Linked DNA regions of Oryctolagus cuniculus. The protein of the gene in region 1 purifies or fractionates together with the protein of each later gene. This does not show direct contact. Links are inferred from orthologs where the notes say so. Each region holds a gene or a part of one and is shown on either strand. Other genes may lie near its edges. The genes, in order: AKAP5 and PRKACB.

What was found.
Region 2: the proteins of AKAP5 (region 1) and PRKACB purify together in Homo sapiens (affinity purification with mass spectrometry; 4 studies listed by BioGRID and IntAct, counting the BioPlex papers as one, with this or other methods). This does not show direct contact. The link is inferred for Oryctolagus cuniculus from reciprocal best matches to the Homo sapiens genes AKAP5 and PRKACB.

What each region holds. Positions count from the first base shown.
Region 1 is NC_091451.1:5,986,890-5,991,415, forward strand, and holds the start of AKAP5 (A-kinase anchor protein 5), read right to left. Parts: upstream 2,845-4,526; 5' UTR 2,659-2,844; intron 1,243-2,658; exon of another isoform or gene 1,093-1,242; intron 1-1,092. UniProt on the Homo sapiens protein: Multivalent scaffold protein that anchors the cAMP-dependent protein kinase/PKA to cytoskeletal and/or organelle-associated proteins, targeting the signal carried by cAMP to specific intracellular effectors.
Region 2 is NC_091438.1:87,045,389-87,049,202, reverse strand, and holds part of PRKACB (cAMP-dependent protein kinase catalytic subunit beta), read left to right. Parts: intron 1-711; coding exon 712-876; intron 877-3,324; coding exon 3,325-3,450; 3' UTR 3,451-3,814. UniProt on the Homo sapiens protein: Mediates cAMP-dependent signaling triggered by receptor binding to GPCRs.

The DNA.
Region 1 (4,526 bases):
GATCTCCCATGTGGATGCAGGGGCCCAAGCACTCGGGCCATCTTCCTCCTTCTTAGGCACATCAGCAGGGAGCAGGATCAGAAGTGGAACAGCAGGGACTCAAGCCAGCGCCTGCAGGGGATGCCAGTGTCGTAGTCGGCAGCTTAACCTGCTATGCCACAGTGCCAGCCTTGTAATTGAGCAACTTTTGCATCTTAGGCTGTGCTAAGCATCATAGTTACTTCTCTAATCTCTACTATAATGTAAGAGGGCTTCAAATCAAAAGATTGGTTTAGGAGCTGGGGCTTGGCCTAGTGGTTAGGACACCATTCGGGATAACCATGTGGGCTGGAAGACCAGCTTCGTGGCTCCTGTCTCCAGCTTCCTGCTCATGTGCACCCTGGGAAGCTGCAGTGGTGGTTCAAGTGTTTGCCACCCACACAGGAGACCTGGATTGCATTCCCAAATCTCAGCTTCAATGGACCCAGTCCTGGCCGTTGCAGACTTTTTGGAAGTGAGCCAACAGATGGAAGTTCATGCCTTCTTTCTCTGTGTCTCTGCTTCATAAATCATTTTTTAAAAAAGATAAGTTTGGGGCTGGCGTTGTGGTGCAGTGGATTAAACCTCTGGCTGCAATGCTGGCATTCCATGTGGGTACCAGTTCCAGCCCTGGCTGCTCCACTTCCAATCCAGTTCCCTGCTCATGCACCTGGGAAAGCAGTGGAGAATAACTCAACTCCTTGGGCCTCTGCCACCCACATGGGAGACCCGGAAGCTCCTGGCTCCTGGCTTCAACCTGGCCCAGCCCAGCCATTGCAGTCATTTAGGAAATGAATCAGCAGATGGAAAAAAATCTCTCTCACTCTGCAACTCTGCATTTCAAACACATAACATTTTAAAGAAATAAGTAAAAAATTAAAAGTTTGGTGCAAAAAATTGAAATCCACAAATATAGAAGAGATCTTCACAAACTTCATGGAAATGAAAATGACAAAATGATGCATGAATTTCAAGGTTTTTTTTTTTTTTTTGGTGTACAAATAAACATCTTTTCATTGCATTTTCCATAGTTTCTGAAGTCTCCTCGTACTACAGAGTGGATGGCGTTCTCACCATGCACAGATGAAGCAGTGGCCCCACACTTCCCAGCACAGTGGTAACAGAGCTCAGATTCAGTCCAGATCTGCCTGCTCCTGAAGCCTGGTGCTCTGAGGTGGTGCTCTGTGAGTTTCACCAGAAAACCAACTGTCTGGAGTGGCTAATCTGCAACAGAACCATTCATGTAGATTCTTGAACAGTGTTTAACGGCCATTTTATTAACCGTAACGCAGCCCATCAGCTCAGCCTCGAACCAAGGCTAGACCGAATTCTTGCTATTCTGAAGCCAAACTTTTGAAATCCTTTATATTTTACTGTCTTGGTCAACTAAGTAAAAAAAAAAAAAAAAAAAAAAAAAGCCTAAGATAAACGGACAAGCTATGCAATCAGCAAATAGATTAGTTTCATGTACACATAAAGGTGCATTTGAAAAGGAACCCACAGAATGCTACCCAGGCACCCAAGAAAGAAGGAGTGAGGCCTTGAAAAAAAGTCATATGACCTAAAATAAGCTAAGAGACTCTTTCCTCAGACTGTTTTTATGCAAATCCCTCACGTGTGTCTCATTTAGGAAGCCCTTAATTCTATGAACTTGAGAAAGAACTGGAACGCTGAACATCCGTTTACAACCTAAGCAAATATTCCCTTAGGTTGCATCCTTCATACCTCTAACAGAAAGAATCCTTCTAGAACCACGATGGAATTCAAATCTAAACGTCTCCCGGTGCCCCTCTCACCTAATGCCGCGGTAAGCGCTGGACTCTGAGCTGGTTAGAACTCTAAGCCGTCTCACCTCTGGCGGGTTCTCAGCCCCTGGGCCTTTTTATTAAGGAGACGGTGTTATTCCTGATCGAAATACTGAAGTCAGATCATGTTCAGGAATGTGTCATCTGCAACTAACCTGGATTTCTCAAAGACAATTTCTTCGAGACGCTCGGGTGAATGCATATCACACTGCAGAAATAAAACAGCCACACACACACACTCTGACGGGGTGGGGGGTGGTGGGTGGGGGGGCTCAATCTGCAGACAGGAGACCTCTGCAGGTGACTCGCCCTGGAGCCTCCGGAGACCCTGCTGTCGTCGCCGCAGAAAGCAGAGCACCCACGACCCCGCAGCAGCCAGGGCCCTCGACGCTTCCTCCTGCAGGGAGTCAATCTCTCCTCTGGCACGATACAGAGAGCCCAGGATAAAGTCCTCAAAAAAGGAAAATGCCGGGGGCGTGAACAGAGAACCCAGCTTCGAGCTCGCTGCAAAACGGTAATGGCCAGGAACCCATCACCACATTTTACCTCCCCCCGCCCCACCAAAAAAAAAAAAAAAAAAAAAAAGACGGTAAGGAAGGAAAAAGCTACCGGGCAGCCCCGGCTTCCAGGTCGCGCTGCAACGCCAAGCGGGAGGGTGGGCAGCGTGGGCAGGGGCGGCCCTGGCTGCAGATTCCTGCTGACCAACGAGCGCCCGCCACCTCGGGGCGCTCCGCAGCCCGCGCCCGCCGCCCACCTCCCGCCCACCCCGCCGGCCAGCCCGGCCACCCTCCCGGACACTGCCCCGGAGCCTCCTCCCCGCCCTGCCTCCACTTACCCCGAGCGCAGCGGTCCCCGGCCAGCCTCGTTCCCGGGGTCGGGGGCGCGCCCCGGCAGTCGGCGAGCTACAGTCGCACCCGCAGCCAGCAGCCCTCTGCAGCGCAGGGACCGCGGCCCCGCAGCGCCCCCTCCCCAGCAGCGCGGGGACAGGCAGGCAGCGGCGCCAACGCGCTCGGAGCGGGCGGGGGGCGGCGCCGGGGCGGGGCTCGGGGCCCCGCCTGCGAGCCGTGGGCCCCGCCACGTGCGCCGGCCGCGCAGCGGTCCCCCGCAGCGGGTCCCCCCATTGGACCCCCGCAGCGGATCCCCGCGGGGCGAAGGCGGGAGAACATAGGGGAGAGCGAGCGAGCCCGAAGATGCGGGGGAGACGGGGCAAGCAGCAGTCAAACCCGGTCTTAAAAATTGCTCTTCCCACATTGCAACCCCCCTCCGCCCCAAGCTTGAACGTGAAGGGCAGCTATCACATTTCCAGAAGCAGAACTGAAAACCCTGCGCAGAGCAGTGAGGTGTCTGCTGGAGAGAAAATGACAGTTCCCAGGCCGCTGCGAGAAGTTCGTGGAGGGGCGGCGGTTGTGCCCCTTGGGTTAAGCTGCCCTGGGCCTCGCTGTTGGAATCTGGGCTCCTCCGCTTGCCATGCAGCTTCCCGCCAACGCACACCTGGGAGGCGGCAGGTAATGGCCCAGGGGCTTGGGGCCCTGCCACCCAGGTGGGAGACCCCATGGCGTTCTGGGGTCCTGGCTTGGGCCCTGGCTGTTGTGGGTAGCTGGGGAATGAACAGGTGCATGGAATATCGCCCCCACACCCGCCCCGTCATTCTACTTCCCAAGTAGGTGAAAAATAAACATTAAAAAAAAGTAACGGGAAAAATGGAACTGAAAGAGAAGTGTATTTTGGTGCAAACGCTTTCAAGCCACGCATAATTTTCTCATAACATACGTTTTCCATGAACTCGCTGAAGACCCCCTTGTATGTGTGCGGTTTTTGAAGATTTTGGCACCAAAATAAACATCGTTAAATTCCTTTTGCCTGTGAAGATTCTGAAGCGCCTTCCTATGAAGGGAAACTGGCGTGGGTTTGGGAGGAAGGAGGTTAGCGCGGTCCCTTGCCGAATGGGCGCTCAGACCTCTGCTTCCTGTTTGGAAGCCTGCCGAGGGAGCAGGGAGCACGGTCCGGGTCTCGCGCGGGCGGCAGGGACTCAGGCACTGAGCCGTCCTCTGGGGCCTCACAGGGTGTGCTGTGTCAGAGCGGGAGTCGGAGCAGAGAGCAGAGCGCAGTGCTCCCGTGCGGACACGGACAACTCGACCAGGGGGCGCAGAGGCTGCTCCCTATCTTTTATACATTGCTTATTCCCCCAAATCAGCTGAGATGCTTACACGTTACCCACGTCGCCCTTCACACACCCCTAGATCCTGCTTAACCTTGCCCCTCTGGATCGACAGAGGGTGGGCAACAGGAGAGGACATTGTACAGCACCAGTCCTCATCACGGCCAAGTGCACGGCCGTGCCCTGCAGGTGCTACCGTTGGCATGGGCTAGGCTCTACATTTGCATGGGGTTCCTGAACCTTTAAGCAATGCACTAGTCTGAATGAGAAGTACCCCGAAGATGTATCTGTACACATAAAGCATTTGTGTGGGTGGTGTAGGGAGTTGCACCAGCTGCAACACTAGCATCCCACAGAGATGCCGGTTCGAGTCCTGGCTGATCCACTTCCATTTCAGCTCCCTGCTGATGCACCTGGGAATGTGGTCCAAGTGCTTGGGGCCCTGCACCCATGTGGAGGACCTGGAAGAAGCTCCTGGCTCTTGGATTTCACCTGGCTCAGCTCTGGCCTTATGGCCATCTGGGGAGTGAACCTGCAGGTGGAAG
Region 2 (3,814 bases), on another chromosome or scaffold:
ATCTCTGAGACAAGGGAGCTCTCTCTTGACAATGGGTGAACATACTGATATTGTTGGAAAAGTTCTAAATATGTGCACATTTTCCTGGAGACTGCTCCATGTTCTAAAAGGGAATTTATGACCAAAACAAGACACTAAGGGAACAGTTTTAGTTCATTCACACAAATAATTCTCTACTTTAAGACTACTGTAGGGTGTGTCAATTGTTAAATCAACAACAGGAGTCACTGTGCACTTGCTCCCCATGTAGGACCTCTGTCCTTAATGTGTTGTACTATGAGAATTAACAGTAAAACTAGTCTTCAAACAGTACTATATACTTTGTGTGTCTGTGTGGGTGCAAACTGTTGAAATCTTTACTTAGTATAGAGTTGATCTTCTGTATATATAGATAATTAAAAATGAATCTTAATGAAGAATGGGATGGGAGAGGGAGTAGGAGATGGGATTGTTTGGGGGTGGGAGGGAAGGTATGGGGAGAAGAACTGCTATAATCCAAAAGTTATACTTAGGAAATTTATATTTATTAAATAAAAGCTTTCTATAAAAAAGACTACTATAGGGACTGTGACTTTTACTTAAAAGCATTTGAAGTTGTCATTAAACAATTTTGTTAATATAATGCCCTGCTACCTTTAAAAAATGTGAAATCAAAATAGAAATATCATGAGTTTTGGAATTTGTGTTTTATCATTTGACGTGTTTGTGTAGGTCCGATTCCCATCCCACTTCAGTTCAGATCTCAAAGATCTTCTAAGGAACCTACTGCAAGTGGATTTGACGAAACGATTTGGAAATCTAAAGAATGGTGTGAGTGACATAAAAACTCACAAATGGTTTGCCACAACAGATTGGATTGCTATTTACCAGAGGAAGGTAAGACTTTTTAAAAGTTGGTGTTTAATTATATGTAGAAGTATTTTCAACTTCACATATTAGAGTGAGAAAATGTTAATATTCTAGCTGAGTATCAAAAGCACATTTTTTGTATCTTCGTAATTGATACTTTTATAAAAGATTGAAAAAACAAAGCAGTAAAAGAATTTTAAGTGCAACATACAGAAGAAATAACAAGACCTAAACAATGTAAATGCAGTACAACCTCTATTTCTCAAAAAAGTAGTTCACTCTCCAACCATTCAGGAAACATATCTGTTAACATTGTTATTACAAATGGATATGCTATGTAGTCAAGAACAGGGTCCATAGTAATTTAAAATAATCTTTAGTTGTCATAAAAAGAATTTCATATTTTTGTATTTTTTCTATAATTGTTAGCATCAATGCAATACTTTATAATGACTGAAAGCGACTGCCTTTAACTTTTCATATTAATCCTTAAAGTATTCTTTGAAATGGGTGGTACCATTTTCTTCATTTTACTAATCAGAAAATCAACTCAGAAAGGTTACTTAATGTAAAAATCTTATAACTACTGAATGATGCCTATCTTTGATCTTGCTTTCTTCAGATTCCTATTCCCAGAGCCACATTACCCATTTAAAGTCCTTTTAACATGATCAAATGATGCTCCAAACCACTGCACAATACATTGTTTCATAAAATTTTCATATCATCTGCTTGACTTCCACATATTGACCCTTGAGGGTAGGAAGACTCTTTCTCAAAAGGCTGTTAAAAAAGAGCATAAACTCTGAGGTTCAGTCCCAGATCAACCAAGCATTATTGTTATAATCTTAAACAAATAATTTAACTTCTGTAAAGCATCAATTTAATCACCTTTAAGATGGAAGAGTAGTTTGGGGAAGAAAGATCAGACAGATTAGCCAAGCTCCCTTTGAGTTCTGGTTGAGATATGCTTCATTATAGTTCAAATTAGATAATTTGTTTAATAACAGCAAAATCTTGATTAACAAAATAGACGCTAGGATCCCTGGGTGATTTACAAATAGAAATAATCCAGTACTTTAATTTGGCCATTTGTTTTAATATCTTCTCAACTATAAGAATGCACAGCAGTGCAAAAAATAAAAAGATAGTAAATTTGAATGGTTGTCATGGTTTTTATTTTGTGATCCAGTGTTCATGAATGTGAAATAGCCAAATGAATCTAGGAGAACGATGATAAAGAGAGAGAGAGAAAGAAAGAAAGAAATGGCCTAGATGACTCAAACTGTACAGTCACTCTCTAGAGATGATTGCCCAAAAGTAGAATCCTAAATTGTTGTCTGGCTAGACATGAGGCAACTGTCTGTTTAACTCATTCTTCTAGAACAAAACAGCAGTCCCCAAAGCAATGGGTGCAAGATAATCAGCTGAAAAATAAAGATACTTGAATTTCCATTCCAATTTATTTTCACTTTATTCTTTTAAAATGTCATATTTCTGTGTTTATCTTATATTATATGGTCAACCATGTGAATAATGTATAAATAAATAACTATACAAATATTGATAATGTGTGCTAGGAACTATTTTACTGAAAGAGATAGAAATCAAAAAGATTTGGAAACCACTGACATACGTAATAGAAAGAGCTCTGATCCAGAAGTAGAAAATTATGAGTTTGAGACTTGCTTTAGCCTCCTACTAGTCATGTGATTTTGGCCAACTCTGTTTTATGATTTTTACAAATAAGAATAAAATATACCTGCTCTGCCTTCTTCATAATGTGGTACTGAAGAAGAAATGAAAAAATTGTATGTGTAATTGTAAATTCAGTAAGGATTGTGAAAATTGTGTTATTATGTTTGTAGCTTTTAAATAGTTTCCTCAAATGTTTTCATTATACCACATAATCTTTGTGAAAGACCATACTCTGAATGGTGGAAAGACAGTTTACTTTCAGGATCTGAAAGGAGAAAAACATTTAAGATTTAGCAGTTCTATAATTCCAAAAGAGATACATTTCTTTCCAACTTATGACAGTTGCACATTTATGTAGACAGATAATTAAAATAAACTTGGAAATTAAAAAAGGAAGGCAATTAAAAGAAAGTCTAAGATTTATCTGTCAGCTTCAGAAGAAAGGAATATAAAAGTGAGGATAGAAAAATAAAGTCTTTGAACATAAATAATAAAGGAAAAAACTGGAATTCTGTAATCTTAGGAGCCTACATTTTGATGCCAACAATTAATTATCCTAGGAATGTCTCAATGTTGTTATATTCCTTGAATGAAAATGATGAGTTAAACAGCAAATCTACTGTTTGCTCCTTCTTCTGATGCCAATATATTTTAGGGATTTAACGGCATTCAAAGATGCCACCAGTTATTAAGAGTGGAAATTTATTTTCCTTAGTGTTTACAAACTCTCAGGAATTTAGTTTTCCTCTTATTTTCCTCTCTATCCCAATTATGTAGGTTGAAGCTCCATTCATACCAAAGTTCAGAGGCTCTGGAGATACCAGCAACTTTGATGACTATGAAGAAGAAGATATCCGTGTCTCTATAACAGAAAAATGTGCGAAAGAATTTTGTGAATTTTAGAGAGGGATAACAAGAGGCGATCAGAGCTCACACTCAATCTTTGCACTCTGGTGAGAGACAAGGTGGAGCTGAGACCCTCCTTGTTGAAGCAGTTACCTAGTTCCTTCATTCCAGCGACTGAGTGAGGTCTTTATTGCTGTCATCTGTGTGTGCACTCTGCATCCACCTATGTAAAAAGGCACCGCTAAGTAAGCATTTCCTGTGCCATAACACAGTACTAGACTACTTTTCTTGGTTTGTCTTTTTCTTCTCCTCCTTCTTTTTCATTAGTTTTCCTCCAAACAGCACTGCATTTTATCTTGCTGGTGTTTCAGGTGCACAGTGTTATGGCTACACAATCTCTGAAGGGCAGGACAACTGTTGC